Drosophila melanogaster: one gene and its partner. Changing the gene in region 2 together with the main gene of any one other region gives a genetic interaction. Each region holds a gene or a part of one and is shown on either strand. Other genes may lie near its edges.

Region 1 (8,593 bases), on a different chromosome or scaffold from region 2:
GGAAAATGTAACATCGTGTGATGACGTTGACCACAATGAAGACAATTCTTGTTGCTGGGGCAGCTTGCTTGTGTGTGCGATTTTCCCAGGCAATTGAGACACAATTTTGCCTTGCTGGCCACTTCCTTCCGTTGGTAGCAATCCATTGAAAGAAATTGCGGACATCTTCGAAGTATGTGTAAGTTGCCACAATGATAGCAAGCGGACGCGGAAGCACCCGACCTGGTGTGGGCGCTGTGCACACGCACGCGTTTAGTACCGTCTGAAGTTTCATTTGACTGTTTCATGCCGCTGCACGCGTTACGGCTTTCAATAGCGTCTAACGTAACAAGTCGATCATTGAGGAACTGTTGCAGATCTTTGTATGAAGGAACGTCAATCTTGCTGCCCAGATGATGCTCCCAAGCTGTGTGAGTGTCTTTGGGTAGTTTGGTTGTTAGATAATGAGTCAACCAAAAATCTCCTCCCTGTAGTGGCGCCTTGACGGTATTGCAAGCGGCAATGCAGACGTTGACTGTACTAACCATAGACCGTATGTCAGCAGATTTTTCTTTCGAAAGATTCGGTAAGTTGTAGAGCATGTTCATGTGGCTGGCGAACACAATTCGTGGGTTGTTATATCGTTGTAGAAGTGTGGTCCAAGCGACTTCATAGTTTGCTTCAGTTAAAGCGATTTGGCGAATGTCGTTGTCCAGGCCTACTGGTAATGCTTCCTTTAAAAAATGGAACCTTTGAATCTTATCCAGACGCTCATTATTGTGAATTAAGCGTAAAAATGCATCATGAAAACTTGGCCAGTCCGCGCAGTTGCCAGAGAATTTCGGAACTGGTAATTTTGGCAGTGGTATCCGTACTTCCTCTACATGTGTTGTTATTGTAGAGTTAGCTGATTCGTTGTGCGTCACTGTGCCTGGATAAATTCGTTTCTTTTCTTCGGCCACGAAACAGTAAACTTCCATGCCCAGGTCTTCGAATTGGCTGATTGTATTTTGTTGCTTATACACACTTTCTTCGTAGTCTGCCATGCATATAAGTGTGTGATGCGCCTGATGAAATTCTTTGTTAAACTCGTCGATTTGATTCAAACGTTTTTCGAAATATATTTCCGTTTTCCGCGCACTCGAGTCTTTTTTCACATTACTGAACAAGCGCTTCAAAGACTCAATGCGGTCAGTTTGAACTCGCACCAGTTGATCAAATTTCGACATTGTTTATACTGACGTTGCTCCACTGTATGTAATATGCACAAATGCTCGTATGTTATCGGTGTTCTTCTTTGACGTCTTGTTTTTTTGAGTTGGCAGAGATTCCGGCAAATCTAACGGAATCGAAGGGCAACGGGACTTAGCTCTGTCGTGATGAGAGCGAGCGCGAATGTTTGCGTATACTGCTCTGTCGTGATGAGAGCGAGCGCGATAGAAAACGTAGGCACGGTGATTTATCTGGATGAAGCCGACCACGAAGATAAAATTGCCAAACAGCTTTTAGCAATTATTAATTATGATTCTTATGAGCAAGGTTCCCCTCATGGGCCACCAATGAATAGTTGTGATGCCTCACTGCTTTGACATCATTGTAATGGGGTTCGCAAATAAGAATCATATATACACTATTTAACTTCATTTATTTTTTCATATACAAAAATCACGTCTGATCGCTATGACCGCAAAATTACAAGAGCGAAAGAAAGAATACAGTTCAGTTCAATTAGCATCGATATATAAAATGTTAATCCGCTGTTAAGACAGCTGAAGCACCGGGTGACTCCGCTCATAATCCGTACACCTCGTAAAAACAAATTTGAAATGGTGAGTAATTCATATGTCCGTGGGTCTTAAATGGCTTTTTGTCACCTTACGGGATTTAATTTCAATATAGCTTTAGCACATTCTCAGAAAATAATAAATCAAAAGAAAACTAAAATCTGATTATCTGCCCCTATTCTAATTTAACTCGACTAGCTTAGAAAACAAAGAAAAAGACTTTGTATTTAGTCAGCTGGTTGCCATCTTTATTTGTTTAATAGTAGTGTAGCTATGTCTGTTGTGTATTTTTTTGTTGCATGCTCTGCTTGTGTTTTCATAGTTTTTAGTTTAATAATTTAGTTATTATTTTTCGTGGCCTTGCGTATTTGTTTATATTTGTAATACATTTAAATACATTCCACAGCGGTTTTAGGGTTTGTTCTCGCGACATGGCTAGCTTATGAAATTTGATAATGTCCTAGAAAAAATGATCCTTACATTGGCGTCCAGATGTTCGTTTATCGAAATCTAATGTGTCTGGGTTTTCGTATTCGAATCTTGTCTAGCCGCAGCTAGTCGGAGCTGCGAATTCCATTCGTGCTCGTTTCAGAGTTGTGCTAAGCGAATGCTTTGGTTTTTGTCAAGCTCGCTAGCAGCTTTTTTCAAAAGTTTGTGTCGAGGTGTCGCAGTGGATCGAGGTTTCAATTGGGACATGAGTCGAAACAATTCCTAGCAAATTTACCAAAGAAACTAAAGGACTAATAACATTGTTTTTAGCAGGCATGGAAACAAACGAATCGTTTTGAACCATGTTTGGTACTTTCCGCGTACGATTTCGAGCTAAATTATTGTTATACAGTATAATTCGCTTAGCTGCCTCGAGTACTTTGCACAATGCCTCGATGCAGGTAACTTAAAAATGCAGCTAACTTAATTTTTTTTTTTCTATTTTCTATTTTCTATTCACACAAAAAAATGGAAAAATAATGCAGATATCTTGCCGATGCAGCTAACTATCGATGCAGCTAAGCGAATTATACTGTACTTATAGTTTCTCTAAGACATGTCGCTAAGTGTTCCTGCGATTTTGAATGTTCATCGTGCTCGCGAGAGGCGACCCACCTTTGTCTGCCGCGTGTCCCACGTCATCGAAATCTTTAGCCTGGAAGCCTGGTTCAACATCGTTTATGATACATACATACATAAATATTATTTCAAATACATACATACATATACACATATATATAGGTATATATATAAAAATAACAAATAATAGTATTAATAAAATCGTAATGTGTAATTTCCCAATATAATAAAAACAATACGCGCCGGCATGCCCTGAATACTAAGCTGATACTTTCAATTGCTCGTCGTGCCCGAGTGTTCTACGTCGACGTCCCCGTCCGCGTTCTGCTGCTCCTGCGGTACATACATCACGGCAGTGCCCTGCTTGTCTGCATCCGAGGATATCGACCAGTTGCGCTCCAGCTGCTCCAAGGCCGCCATGGTCGCCGTGGTCGTCACCCCCGCACCGGAGCTCTCTGCCCCGGCACCGTCGCTCATAACGCCCGCTTTAAGCGTTTCCTCCAGCAGCACCTGGATCTTGTCCTGGTCGTCGAGGTGGACGAAACCGAGGCGCACCAGTTCGCTGGTGAGATCCGCCGCCGTATCGTTCTCGTTCACCTGGCATGTCAGTTGGCGGTTCATCTTGTCGTCCATGCGCAGCAGTATTGTCATGGTTATGTCATTGCTATCCTCTTTGATTTTAACGCTGCACATCATGTTAACGATGCGCCGCGACTCCGTGTCCACAGGCTCCGGCGTGGCCGATTTTACGGAGTCAGCCCGTTCCGGGGAGGCGGCCCGGGAACGGAAGTTGGGCGGCTTCTTGCCGCTGTACGTAATTAGCGGATACACACCATACTTCACGTCCTCGACGAACTTTTCCAGCTTATCGGCGCCTGAAACGTCTGCGAGTCGGTACTGCCGCTCCTGGCCGCCGGCCAGCCGCAGCTGGGCCATAACCACGTCCGGCTGGTAGTATCGCTGCATGAGGCCGTCGAAGGCGGTTTCCGAGAACATAGTGCGGTTGGCGGGCGAGAAGACCAGGCAATGGGCAGTCAGCAGTTTGAGGGAGTGCACCTGTAGTAATAGCAGCAAAAAATTGATTATTAACTACTGAGTTTTTCAGTTAATTACCTTTATAAAAGTGTTATAAGAATACCTTGCAATGTCATTTGAACCATGTACAAATTTATATTTTAAAGTCAACAAGAGCGAACGCTACACTGTTTTTCTCGAATATCAGACTCAAGTTGAAGTGCAAACGAGAAGTTTCCACACTTTAAAATGGCATACCAATGGATATTGACAAGACAAATAAGACCAAAGTATCGGCGTGGCAGTTCTATGGGGTTTCCGTTGGAGTGGACGATTCTAATGAAGAATCGCTAACAATATAGGGCTGAAAACGATTCCTTCTACCCGTTAATTTCCTCTTAACGAATATAGTAACAGGTATGAAAATAAAACAACAGACCCTCAGTAATCAAAATAAAATGTATAGTTACATATTAACCACAACTTGAACTTAAGATATAAGTGACTGTGAGCAATAAATAATATACTACAGTCAAAATGGATTGTAGAATTATCAACTGATTACTAGTTCTCCTTCCATTTATATACATATATATATAATATACACATGAATATAATATATTAAATTCTAAGATAATTTACGATATGATTCGGATAAAACCAAATTTAGAACTTAAATATTTAACGGTGCATTTAAATCATATAATTATTCAAATCTTCAGATTTCAATTATTTACTTAAAATAAAATTTAATAATATCAGGTGTCTTATTAAACTAAATCTCTCACTCGATGGATCCGAGAATTAGAATGCAAGGTCTAGTTGACAAGGCAATTGTTATGCGGGTCTTGAATTTATAGCATTTAGAACAAGATAATTGACTTGAAAACTCACCTCGAAAAGCAATGGGTGAAAGAGCAGATCATTGGCGCTGGGTCGGTCCTGCGGCTGCGGGTTGAGACACTTTCGTATCAGGTCGCGCTGCAGATCGTTTTCCAGGCTAAAGATTGTGCGCTGGATGGTCTCCTCGTTGATGGCAGTTGACTCGCTGTTACTGGGCTGGATTTCCAGGGCGGCCATCTCCAGGGCACACATCCCGAAGGCGTAGATGTCGAGGGCGGCGGTCAACTGGTCGGCGGCGCCGTACTCGGGCGCCTGGAAGTAGTGGGCGCCTCGTTCGCGTTCACGCTCCCGCTCTCGGCCGCGCCGGACGCTGTAGTGGACCGCGTCCGGGACCACCGAGCCGATCTTGACCAGGCCGTTGTGCTGGATGAAGATGCTATCACAGGTTAAATTGCCGTGGATGATGGGCGGCGAGCAGGAATGCAAATAGCTGAGTGCGGACAAAATCTGAGTGCACCACCGGCGCCACGACTCCAGCGGTAGCCGCTTGGCGTTGCGCTTGGTGCGCTTGAGGAACTGTTTCAGCGATCCGCTCGACATGTACTCGGTGATAAAGACCACCCTGGGTCGCTCGGCCTGCTGCGTGTCCGTCCAGTAGCGGTGGAACTTGACAATGTTTTGGTGGTCCAGCTGCAGCAGATTGTCGAACACCTGCCGCATCTTCTCCTCCTGCGACTTCAGCTCCTGTAGGCTGGCATATTGCACCTCATTCCACACGACCTCTACGCCCTCCTCGGTGTCCATGGCCAGATGGACGCAGTCAATACCGGGTACGTCACGCTGATCCACCTCCTCGCGTCGCTTCAGCCAGCGTCCACATGGCGACTCCTCCAAAATCTCGCTCTCATCCTCCGAATCGTCCCCGGACTCGCGTGGCGACGAGTCCAGATTGACGCCCTCGCTGCCAGCTACGACGCCGACGCCGACCGCAGCGCTGCTGCCCGCATCAGCTGTTGAGGCACTAACTATGTGCGGCGGGGGCTGCTGCGTCGACTGCGACGGCGGGGTCGCTGCTGGGCAGGATGCACTTACGGGGCCGGCCGCCAAGGAAGGGTGGTGCTGGATGGGTTCATCCGCTACCGTGCTACCGCTGATGCCGGCATTCGCTTGGCTATTTGACATTAGGGTGCGGTCACCGACGCGGCTGCGGCTGTTGAGCAGTGCTGTTCCAGTTCCAGAAGGCCTCGTCGTCTTCGGTTTCCAGTGTTTATTTTCTTTGTTGGACTGCCTACGTTTGCGCTAGCTTTTCGTGGTATCCACTACGGGGTCCGGGCAACGAGCTACATCCGCCGCTGCTCCTCTGCCGCTGCCTCTGCCCCACTCACTGGCGCACACATACACACGCACGCGCCCACACAGCTCATCCACTGCACCCCTCGCCCAGTAAACACTCCGCTGCGACGGCTGGCGGTTGCTGGGACGTTTTTCGGCACCTTCGACGGCGTCTTCTGTTCCAATCCTCGACTGCGTCGCGAACTGCGATCCGTTTGTTGCACTTTCTGGCCTGACACGCTGCCGATTCGTTTATTTAGGCGTTTTTTTCACGCTAAAACACCCAAGAAATGTGAGCAAATCGATGCCTCTGGCTTATCGATAGTCACCCCCGCATATCGCTCGGCCAGCGCAACTGCGGCATGCTCATCGATAATAACGCGTTAAGCTGAGATATGCCAAAAATGGCTTAATTTATGTGATTTATTAATTTTTTATACGGTAACGAGCAAGGAAAATTAGTTTGCAGGCGGTTCATTTGATTATAAGCCAAGTTTTTAGTAAAATATTCTTTTTCTTTTGAACACATTAAGAGCTGGCAAAAAATAGCTAGATGGTCCGGAAATATGCAGAATTACCAACATCATAGAACCGTTTTCGATAGTTTCTCAATGGTACCGATAACACCTTGCCATCCGTGCCGGCAGCTCTTAAAAATATCCGAAGTATCGCAGATTTAGGCAAAATCTGCATCAATTAACCAAACATGGATAGCATAATTGGACGCAGCCAGTTTGTCTCGGAGACGGCCAATCTGTTCACAGACGAGAAGACAGCTACGGCAAGAGCTAAGGTAGAACACAAATCTTAATCAGACAAGACAGTCCGGACTGCTGTATTGTACCATATATTTTCCCATTCAGGTGGTCGATTGGTGCAATGAGCTGGTCATCGCATCGCCTTCGACAAAGTGCGAACTGCTGGCTAAGGTGCAGGAGACTGTGCTTGGATCGTGCGCGGAGCTGGCCGAAGAATTCCTGGAGTCCGTGCTGTCTTTGGCCCACGACTCAAACATGGAGGTTCGCAAGCAGGTAGTCGCCTTCGTAGAGCAAGTTTGGTAAGGATTTCCATCAAAGGATCTAACTTCTTGCTGAAACGATTTATATTTTCCATCCCAGTAAAGTGAAGGTGGAGTTACTGCCCCATGTCATTAACGTCGTGTCTATGCTGCTTAGGGATAACTCGGCTCAGGTAATCAAAAGAGTGATCCAAGCCTGCGGTAGCATCTACAAGAATGGATTGCAGTACTTGTGCAGCCTCATGGAGCCCGGCGACAGTGCGGAGCAGGCGTGGAACATCCTCAGCTTAATCAAGGCGCAAATACTGGACATGATCGACAATGAAAACGACGGCATACGTACAAATGCCATTAAGTTCTTGGAGGGCGTCGTGGTTCTGCAGAGCTTTGCTGACGAGGACAGTCTGAAACGAGATGGAGACTTCTCGCTGGCAGATGTCCCCGATCACTGCACACTATTCCGCCGTGAAAAGTTGCAAGAGGAGGGCAACAATATTTTAGATATCTTGCTTCAGTTCCACGGAACAACGCATATTTCCTCAGTGAACTTGATTGCCTGCACAAGCAGCTTGTGTACAATTGCCAAAATGCGACCCATTTTCATGGGCGCCGTGGTGGAAGCCTTTAAGCAGCTGAATGCCAACCTGCCGCCCACCCTCACTGACTCGCAAGTAAGCTCCGTGCGTAAGAGCCTTAAGATGCAGTTGCAGACATTGCTGAAGAACCGCGGTGCCTTTGAGTTTGCAAGCACTATCCGAGGAATGTTAGTTGATCTGGGGTCCTCCACAAATGAGATCCAGAAGCTTATTCCCAAAATGGACAAACAGGAAATGGCTCGTAGACAAAAACGCATCCTCGAAAATGCTGCGCAAAGTCTTGCAAAGCGTGCGCGCTTGGCCTGTGAGCAGCAGGATCAGCAGCAGCGAGAAATGGAGCTAGACACTGAGGAATTGGAACGACAGAAACAGAAGTCTACTCGAGTTAACGAAAAGTTTCTGGCAGAGCATTTCCGTAATCCTGAAACTGTTGTGACCCTGGTGCTGGAGTTCCTGCCCAGTCTGCCCACTGAGGTGCCACAAAAGTTCCTTCAGGAATATACACCCATTCGCGAAATGTCTATTCAGCAGCAGGTAACCAATATCTCCAGATTTTTTGGCGAACAACTATCTGAAAAGCGCCTAGGCCCAGGTGCCGCAACCTTCAGTCGAGAGCCGCCAATGCGGGTTAAGAAAGTGCAAGCGATTGAATCAACACTAACTGCAATGGAAGTGGACGAGGATGCTGTTCAAAAACTGAGTGAGGAAGAGTTTCAGCGTAAGGAGGAAGCAACCAAGAAGCTGCGCGAGACCATGGAGCGCGCCAAGGGTGAGCAGACTGTTATTGAAAAGATGAAGGAGCGCGCCAAGACGCTGAAGCTGCAGGAGATCACCAAGCCTCTGCCACGCAACTTAAAAGAGAAGTTCCTAACTGATGCAGTGCGTCGCATCCTCAACTCGGAGCGGCAATGCATTAAGGGAGGAGTGTCATCAAAGCGCCGTAAGCTGGTCACCGTGAT
Region 2 (9,322 bases):
TGGCAGTGGCAGTGAGCGGTACACGGTACATGGTACGCGGCAAAGCGTGAACCGTAAACGGTAAACGACAAAACGGAGACGTCGCCACTTTGGCCATGAGTAACGATGAGTGCTCAATTACTTTTCGATTGATCATGGTTTTGGCGCGCGGTGAAATTTAGACCGCCACCCCGCAGTTGCGCCTACCCCCTCTCGGCATCCGCATTCTGTCGACCGGTGGAGCGTAGTCGGCAATCATGAATGAATCGCCGTGTCTGCGAGCGTGAGAGCCCGGCTCGCGGTTGAACAAATCGTGTCGTCATTGACGGCTGTCGGCGGCCGACGGAGCGTATGAGTAATATTCTTGTGAAATTGAACGGAAATAACTGAAATTCATGCCAACCCCCATAAATTGCCGACTATTTGCGGGGGTTACTTCGGAACGGAACAAAACGGAACGGAATGGATCGTTTCGCTTCGGATCGGAAACGATCGTCTCGGAATCGAAATCGGAGAACGGGAGATCCGGAGAAACGGTGAATCGGAAGTGTGTGCCGAGTGAAAGTCATTCGATAAGAGCCAAGTAGCCGCTCATTTCGTTCCCCAGAGACCGGCAAATAGGCAAATTACACATGTTTTGTTTATCTGCGAGCGGGAGAGACAGTGAATAGCTCTCCCAGCGACCTTATCTGGTGGAGATCGGCCCAGTCGACGAATCGATCAATCACTCCACTCCAGTGCGCCGATTATGTGTCATCCCCCAAAGGGGAGCGCTGGAGAGCTGTGAGTATTTCTCATCGTGTTGAAATCTAGCTGGCCTAATCATTCACTAAACGTTTGTATTTTTCACGCCCATTACGACTGGGTAATATTGGTAATAAATCTATTATGTTCGGAATGGCCGTAATATAGAATATTTATGACATTTGTTACTAGTTCACTAACCAAATATTGGTCTCAATCGAATAGCTATTGGATGATTGTACTTGTTGTTGCCTAGTTTAGATGTTATCTCTCATATTTAGTATTATTAAAGTTAACTAAAGTTAGTTAAAGTTATACTTTTCTTCTGCTTTTTTCCATGCTTTCTTCAGCGTATCTTATTGCTCCTAGTTGCTAGTACCCTGGGTACAGGGTAACCCATTGTCCACACCCAGCCGCTATGAGTCGTTTTTGTTTTTTTTTATCGCTCAGCTGTGCTTTTTTATGGCTTTCTCGCGTTGTTTTTGGCACTCGGCGAATGTTTTGAGCGCTTTTCTTGCGATTGCACACTCATGACAGCCGAGAGAGCCTCTCCCTGTCTCTCTTCCGCTTCTTTGGCGATTCGAGCGGAGCGAACATGACCGGCGGACTGGGCGTCCGCCTCCTCATTAGTATGCTCATAGTAACTGAGGAGTTCAGTCAGTCTCCGCCGGCCACAAAAACAAAAAACTAAATATATATACACACATAACCACTGCACGCGAAAAGGCGAAAAAAAAGTGAAGAAACGCTACTGCAAAAATTGTACAAAAAAACAACGCAAAGACGGCGAGAAAGCCACTCCAATCCACTCCACAACACTCCACTCCACGCTCTCCAGCGGCAAGAAATCGACAGCGCTGTTGACTTCGACTTCGATCGAATCGGAATCAAATCATAGCAGACAGTCGAAGGCAGCGCGTCGACACTTAACGCGATAGTTCGTCCAGCCGCGATATAAAGATACAAAGATACGCAGCCAAATTCAACAAATTCAACAAATTCGACAAAGTCGCCTGATTCGCCTGATTCGCCAAATTCGCCAAATCGCGATCGCTTTTATTATTGGTTAGTTTTTTTTTTCGTTTTTTTCCCCGTTGCATTCTGGAAGCTTCTTTCCGGCAAATACACACAAAGAAAAGACTAACAGCGTTACAAAAGCAAAGTGCGTGTCAATCAAGTACGAATTTTTGTGCGGAATTCCCAGCCAACGATTTTTATGTAAATGGTAAGTACAAGTAACTACCGCAGGCGCGTATTTTTTCGGGGATTTTATATTTGCCTTTTCTGCTGCCGATAAGAGAATTCACCTGTGCGTGCTCGGTTTGTTGATAGGTACAGGTGTCTTTCGCTCGATACTTCTGAACCCGCAGAGTTCTTGCCAAGAGCTGCAATGGTCAGGTGAGGTGTCACGTACCCCACACATGATGAAATTGGCCCCAAGGAGGAGGTGTGATGGGTTTAGGGATTGGAGATGGGGATAGGGCTCACAACCGAAAGGGACCATCATCTCCAGCCTCTCATGGGGGAAACTCATTCGTGAATCACTGACACTGTTTGGTGATAGGCATTGAAAACAAGTTATAAATTCATGATGCACAATATGTTAAGTTCATTTTTCCACATGTGAATCATAGCATTTTAAAGTTATTACAATTATGAAAAACCCAAAGTTATTTGAAAACCTATGGACGTTATTTTCGGATGAGTATGACTAATCGTACAGGGGCGACTTGCATTTATTTGCTATTACTATTCTAACTTATTGGGAACTTATTGTTCCATTCAACCACACAACTTATGCAACTAACTTAATAGTTATTGCAACTGTAAAAAAAAACCCTTTTGACGAAAAATGGCCAAAAAAAGAGCGAAACATGTGAAATTAATTTACACGTTTCGTGCCGCGGGGGTGGTGGTGCCAGTGGTGCTGGTGGTGCTGGTGGTGCTGGTGGTGCTGGTGGTGCTGGTGGTGCTGGTGTTGCTGGTGTTTGGCAGGAATTGAAGATTGGATGCGTCAGCGGTTGTCACTACAAGCGTTAGCGATTCGGCACAGACAGGAGGACAAGGTCCGGGCAAAGGGACCGCGATAAAGAGCCGGAGAGCGAAAACGCACGGCAAGAGAGAGTGAATTTCACAAAAGTTTGCAAGACCAATGTTTCGTTGACCATGCTGCTCGATGTGTAGGAGGCGTGTGGAGCGATTGGAGCCTACCCCACCAGACAATATGAGATAGCACCGCCACCGCCAGTGCGGTGGCACCACTATCACCACTACCTTTGCAAGTCGACCTCCACCCGACACACGATGATTCATGATAATTTGGCTAAATAAAGAAATTTATTTTTAATTTGAAATAATTATTTCAGCCAGATAAAGACGGCACTAGCAATGGCCGTAGCTGTAGCTAAAGCGCAAACGATAATAATAACAAATCGCGCATGCTTCGGGCCCCCCAAACAATTGCGATTATATTTATATGTGTGCGTATGGGTTTGCGCATAAGTGCGTCCAGCGGGAATCCCCAAGCAGCCAACAATCATCATAATTCGCCCACTCAGGCACTAACACACACAAAATAACACAAAACAATCGCACCACAATCACACATCCGTACCATCACGTGCGCGAATTTTGGTTTATATTTGGCAAAAGTTGGCCAAGATAATATATAACCAGTCGGTTCAGTTCAGTTGTCCGCGCAGCGTCCGTTAGTCTTGACTTATGGTAATTGGTCCCTCGGCAGGGGGAATACATTTGGCCAACCGAACCCTCTTTTCGGCCAAAGTTTGAGTATGTAAATAACTGAAAATCGAACATACGTATTTGATTTTTTTTTTTTTTTTTTTTTTTTGGTAACTAATAATAGTATAACCTGTTGCTAGACTTTTCTCATGCTAAACACCGACGACGTCTGACGAAGATGTGACGTCAAGAAGTCGTAGTGAAACTCGAGCCATTATGGGTGGGAAAAAAATGAAACTGTGTTATCTTGAGGGCTTTGCGTGTTTGTATAAATTTTGTTTAGCTTATTTCGGAACTTTTTCCATCCACAGACGACAGCTGACCGCCCGCTCGACGTCAGCAGGAGCAGCGGAAGCGGTAGCCGGAGCGGTAACAAAACGGCCAGAACCAGGAATCCAGTGGAACCGCAGCCGCAACCGCCGTTCGTGGATCGACGACGACGCCTGAACAGGAACTGGTCACTGATCTTACTCGCCTTGGCCATGTCCCAGTTTGCCCTCTCCGGCGGCGGTTGTGGCGTCTCAGCGGCGCCCAGTCACCTGGCCACCCCGCCCACTGACAGCCCCTCCAGTCCCATCAATCCCACCAATCCCCTGAAGCACCTACAGAAGCGTTCCAGAGCGGCCAACTTCCGGCTGACCTTCCAGCAGAAATTGAATGCCAGCAGTACGCATCTGGACTGGGAGAACACCTGCAATCTGAAGCCCACGGGTCTGAACGAAACGCACAGCAAGGCGAAACGCTGCAAGAAACGCCAAAGGGTAAGTTTCAAGCGAAAGTTGGCTCTTAGCTGATAAATAAATTGGCACAACTAATTCACACACTATTATCTATATGTATATATGTATTTGTATCTATTTCAGATCCTGCAGAATCTACAGAACCAAACGGGCCGCGAGCTGCGGGGCATCCAGGCCGAGGACAAGGCCAGGATCACCACCAATGCGGACAAGCTGGCCACAGTGAGCACCAAGACTCTGGACATTGTCGAGAAGAACAAGTGGCGATTCTATAAGGGAAACTACAGATTCCTGCCCCGTCTGAATCTCACTAGCAAACAGGTGAGTGTCGTCCATATGCCATAAGCATAATATATGTATGCATATATCGTCATGTGAAGAACTACTGGATCATTTACAAACATCAAACACTCGCGGGGGGTTCTTCTGTTGCCAGGGAGCTTGAGGTGATAAAAAAGAGGGTCACGTGAGGCGTTCGCCCCGTTCACCTGCGTAGGTGCAAACAGGCCGTCACAAGCTAATGGCGAGTGGAGCGGTCATATGAGTCCGAATCCGAGGGAATCGTGCCGCCAGCCGCGAGAGTTGTTGCCATAGTTTGTTTGCGTGATTAAGGGAATTTATCAATCTATATAGAGGGGTATGAAGGAAACTAAGGAAATAAAGATTGAGATATGTATATAGTTCATATGTGCTAGCTTGATGATGGAGTTGTTTTGACAACACTTCCAACAGCAACTTGCATTGAGCACTTAAGTGCCGCCAACTTTTCGATCGCACCTCGTTCGTTTTGTCAGCATTAGCCGGCATTTCGGGACGCCCCATTAACCGTCGATTTGCATTGGTAGCAAACAACAACAGCACGAGGGAAAACATTAGCAATCGATGCCATAACCACATTAAGATTAAGAGCAAATTGACGGCGCGCGCGCTTTTTTTTTCGATTATTGTTTATATAGATCCATCGCGATCCCCCCCAAACCGGCCTTGATCCAGCGATCACGTTTTATGGCCAATCCGTAGATTGGATCGATCCGAATTGAGGCTGAAGCTGAAGCTGAAGCTGTATCTGAATCTGAAAACGAAGTTCAATCCGAATCTCAATTCGTATCTGAAGTGGATAATTTGTTGAATAAACAAAATAAAATCAAGCGGCACATTTTATTTACACTTTTGACAAGTAAACAACAACAAACAGAAGCTAATCAAATTTCGAATTGGATTCGCCACGGACATCTGAATTATGGCGAGAGGAAAATTATGGAGCTTTTCAATTTCGAGACCCTCGAGTTGCGGACAGTTTGATGTTAATAGAGTGGAACCGTTTAGTAATGCCAAATTGTCGGGGTCTGGGAATTCGGAAATATTTTCGCACTGACACGGTGAAATGAGCAAGACCAGTTGAGGAAAAACCCGGAGTGACCGATAGGCCAGTGAATAATGGAAGTAATGGAAGTAATATAGAATGTGGGCTCCGGAATGTGGATGGCGGTACTTGCGAAATGATTGCCACGGAGTACCAGTCGATACGTGACCAAGTATGACAAACGCCGTGCACTAGAAAGGGTCTAGTCCACATTTCAATGAGGTGGATGTCGCTTCGTGAATCGGTCGAGATCGGCTTGGTTGCCCCAACGTGCTAATTCCTTGGTGTCCGGGAAAGTTTCGTATAGGACAGTAATATCTGCAGATAACCAGATGAGTGTAGTTCACTTGGCGTGGCCATAAACAGATACTTTTATGAGATCGCAGGTGCGGCGAAAAATCTCAAGTGTGGTCAAGATCCGCGAAAACCGCCGACTCACTTCGAGTCAGCCAAAAGTCGCGTTCAGAGTGCAAGTGGAGTCTCAAAGGTCGCCACCCCCTGGGAATTTGGTTTTTATTTTTTTTTTTAATTACCCGTTCTGCTAAACTTAGCCAGTCCCATCATAGTTGCCATTCCATTTCATCCATTCATTCACTTAGCCAGCGATTCCACTCAATCGTCTATTCAGGGCGATGAGCAAAGTTTGGCTTTCGCTGAAATTTCTCAATTGTCGTCATAGTCTGGGAAAAGTACCTGGGCCTCGCGGATCACACTGTGAGAAAATGAGGGTAACAATTGACTGCCTTCGCTGCTTATAAGTACTCTTTCGTGTTGAGTTTTTCAGTAGATACCTTTGATCACACACTACTCGATTCGACCAGTCGATCCACCTTTTCTCACTCTGCACCAAGCTCGGGAACTTGCCGCTCGGGATGTGTGTCAATATTTGGCCAATATCGGCTACGTCAATGCCAATTGTGCCAACTAATTGTTGACATCCCCGGAACAGAGTGAAACGGAACCCCCAGATCGGAACCCGATCCGACGACGAGGTGGCAAACGGGACTGATAGAAGAACTCTATATTTAGATGGATCGTTTCGATACCGAGAATCGACGGCCTTTTGACGTCATGCATTCGCTCATACCCACCCAAAAAAAAAAAGGAAAACAACGAATTCGCTGATACCGCAGCGGATCGGTTCGGAAGAAGAAATGACCTTAACGATAATATGTTTGAGTAGTTCACAACGCTCGTTTATTGCAAATGACACACACACGCCGTTTGTGGTCGTTGATCGGGGGGATACGGGGCGCGGAGCGTATACGCGATATGTGATTCATATGAAACAGAGCCGTGGATTCCCCCGAAACTCCAGCGAGAGCGAGCGGGAGCGGGAGCGGGAGCGGGAAAGGGTGAGCGGCGGCATGCGGCGAGCGCGACATGAATGAAACGAAGAGCCAACGTCGACGTCACGAGCGGCCAGCCGAAGCGTAGCCGAGAACTCAAAAAACAGTTACGAGAGAGCGGCGCGAGCGTTCGGCTTGATTTTCACTTTCAGCCGCCGGCCAGATAAGTTTCTGGTCGTTGGGATGAGGGGAGTGTGTGTGCGATGGGAGGGGGGGGGGGGGGGGGTCCGCAAAGGGGCTGGTGGGCTCAGTTCACTCAACCCAAAAAATTCGAACTATAGGATCGACTATATACACCATATGCGATATGGATATCGCAATTTCCGCCAAGGTTTCGCCGTTTCTAATACTTTAATTTTACAATTGGGGATTTTTATTGCAAGCGAGTGCAGAAAAAGGTTTATTCAATAAAGATAACCCCGACCTTCATTCATGGCGATACAAGTAATTAAGGCGTTAAATACTTAAAAATATCATACTTTGCCATATAATTGTTTTATTTTCAATTCTATGCTGATATAATCAAGGATTATGGAGTTGATCTCCAATATGGGTTGGGGTAACTATGATGATTAAGTTGGGAATATATAAGTTTACAAGTTCATGGACAGTTAATGATATAAATAGAGCACTTAATTTAATCTAAAAACTAGTATATATAAAATGGGTGTACAAATATGAATCCATAGATTCTTATCAACAGAGAACCTCTCATTGCAGATCAAAGTTATCAATTAGTCATGTTCCCATTCATAGTATTCATATTTCTTGACAAATCAATTTAACTAACCCGCTTCCAATCTTTTTCCTTGCCCATTCCAGTTGAACCTTCGCCACGCCCATCGCGACCTGCAGATTTACGTGGGCGCCTTCACGTACATGCGCAACATCAAGTTGCACTGGGACCTGGCCAACCTGCAGGCGAAGAGCGTGCTCTCCGACGAGCTGGGAAGGATGCGGAAGTCCGCCCGCGAGGTGCTCTGCAGCGTGGAGGAGGCCATCAACCTGACCAACCTGCTGTACACACCCAACAGGCAGCGGGCGCCACAGCCGAGGGGCCAGAAGAAGCGGCGCCAGGCCCAACCGGTGGTCACCTACAAGATACTGCCGCGCAAGCTGATGGAGAAGCGTCTGCAGCAGTTCAACTCGACGTTGGTGCCACTCGTGGAGCTGCACCAGCAGGCGACCTTGGCCGCACGCGGGGAGGATGTACCACCACCGCCCGACGACCTGATGGTCCTGGAGCAGCACGCCCTCTTCACCAAACTGAAGTTTGTGCAGTATCTCAAGAGTATCCGCAAGATACTCGCGAACCAGCGTAAGAGTCTGTGCAAGGCGACCACCCACGTGCCAAAGGCGATCCAGAAGAAACTCTAGACGAGAGCAGAGAGCAGAGAGTAGAAAGTAGAAAGTAGCTATAGCCAAGAGCTCAGAACCGGCGAAACCTCCATTCCACACAACGAGGCTCATTCCATGAAGACATCCTTAATTTATTAAACATCCAATATTTATTACTCACGCCACGCCACACCAGTCACGACAAATCACGAGGAATCCCCGACAATCACAAGGCTATGAAAAACCGAATAAGTAATGTGAACAATCCACCACAGACGTGAATTTGAGATACCCAGTTTTCTCGATATTCTAACACGATAGTAATGTTTTCTCCGACTAAATTTATTATTATTATTTTTTTTTTTTTTTTTTGATAGCTTTAAGTCCCATTGTATTATTTATTATTGCAACTCGCCAACAATCTGCCGCACATTCCGCTAGATACTAAGTATACTAGATATACTTTGCCTTGTATTACGATGCTGTGATAGTAGATGATTAAAGTAAACACAACGCTCCGCGACGGCCACAAGCTATATATCTCCCCCGACTATATTTACACACTGATATATGTATGTACGATTTACACCTCTATGTAACTTAGCTTTGATTAGGAATTAACATTTTAGACATCAAATACAAACACAAATATACAAATATACAAATACAAACCATTGAAAGTACAAATGCATCGAGAGTTTATCTGCGGATTGGGTGGTCCTCTCCTGGCGCCATATCAATTACACTCATGTGTGGGGGTATAGTATATACGAGATATATTCCCACCGAAATTGCGCATACGCACCGTGCTGGATGAGATGTAAGAGAGACATAAAAGTGTCCAAACAATTCCCCTTTACGATCGTCGCCGTGGCTTTAATTGCAGCAGAATTACGCGGCATTTATAGACTTGTTCAAATATTTTATGAGCCATATAATAATTCTCTCCCCTGGGTTTTGGGTTTGGGTTTTTGGCTTGGGTCGGGATCGGGATCGGGATCGGAATCGGAATCGAGGTCGTAGTCGTAGTCGGAGTTGGAGTCGGGGTCACCTTTGTCCCTTTTTGT

The links. Genes that interact genetically often act in the same process or in processes that back each other up.
Region 1: of upd3 (region 2) and Madm, changing one suppresses a phenotype caused by changing the other (phenotypic suppression), as found in Drosophila melanogaster (one study listed by BioGRID).

The regions. Positions count from the first base shown.
Region 1 is NT_033777.3:5,740,262-5,748,854, reverse strand, and holds Madm (MLF1-adaptor molecule), read right to left. Parts: upstream 6,346-8,593; 5' UTR 5,871-6,345; coding exon 4,740-5,870; intron 3,888-4,739; coding exon 3,105-3,887; 3' UTR 1,717-3,104; downstream 1-1,716. Other genes in the region: Sym (symplekin), read left to right, coding at 6,727-6,813, 6,884-7,077, 7,139-8,593. UniProt on the Drosophila melanogaster protein: May play a role in subcellular trafficking between the endoplasmic reticulum and Golgi apparatus.
Region 2 is NC_004354.4:18,275,658-18,284,979, forward strand, and holds upd3 (unpaired 3), read left to right. Parts: upstream 1-1,575; 5' UTR 1,576-1,945; coding exon 1,946-1,948; intron 1,949-3,776; coding exon 3,777-4,226; intron 4,227-4,328; coding exon 4,329-4,526; intron 4,527-7,739; coding exon 7,740-8,294; 3' UTR 8,295-8,939; downstream 8,940-9,322.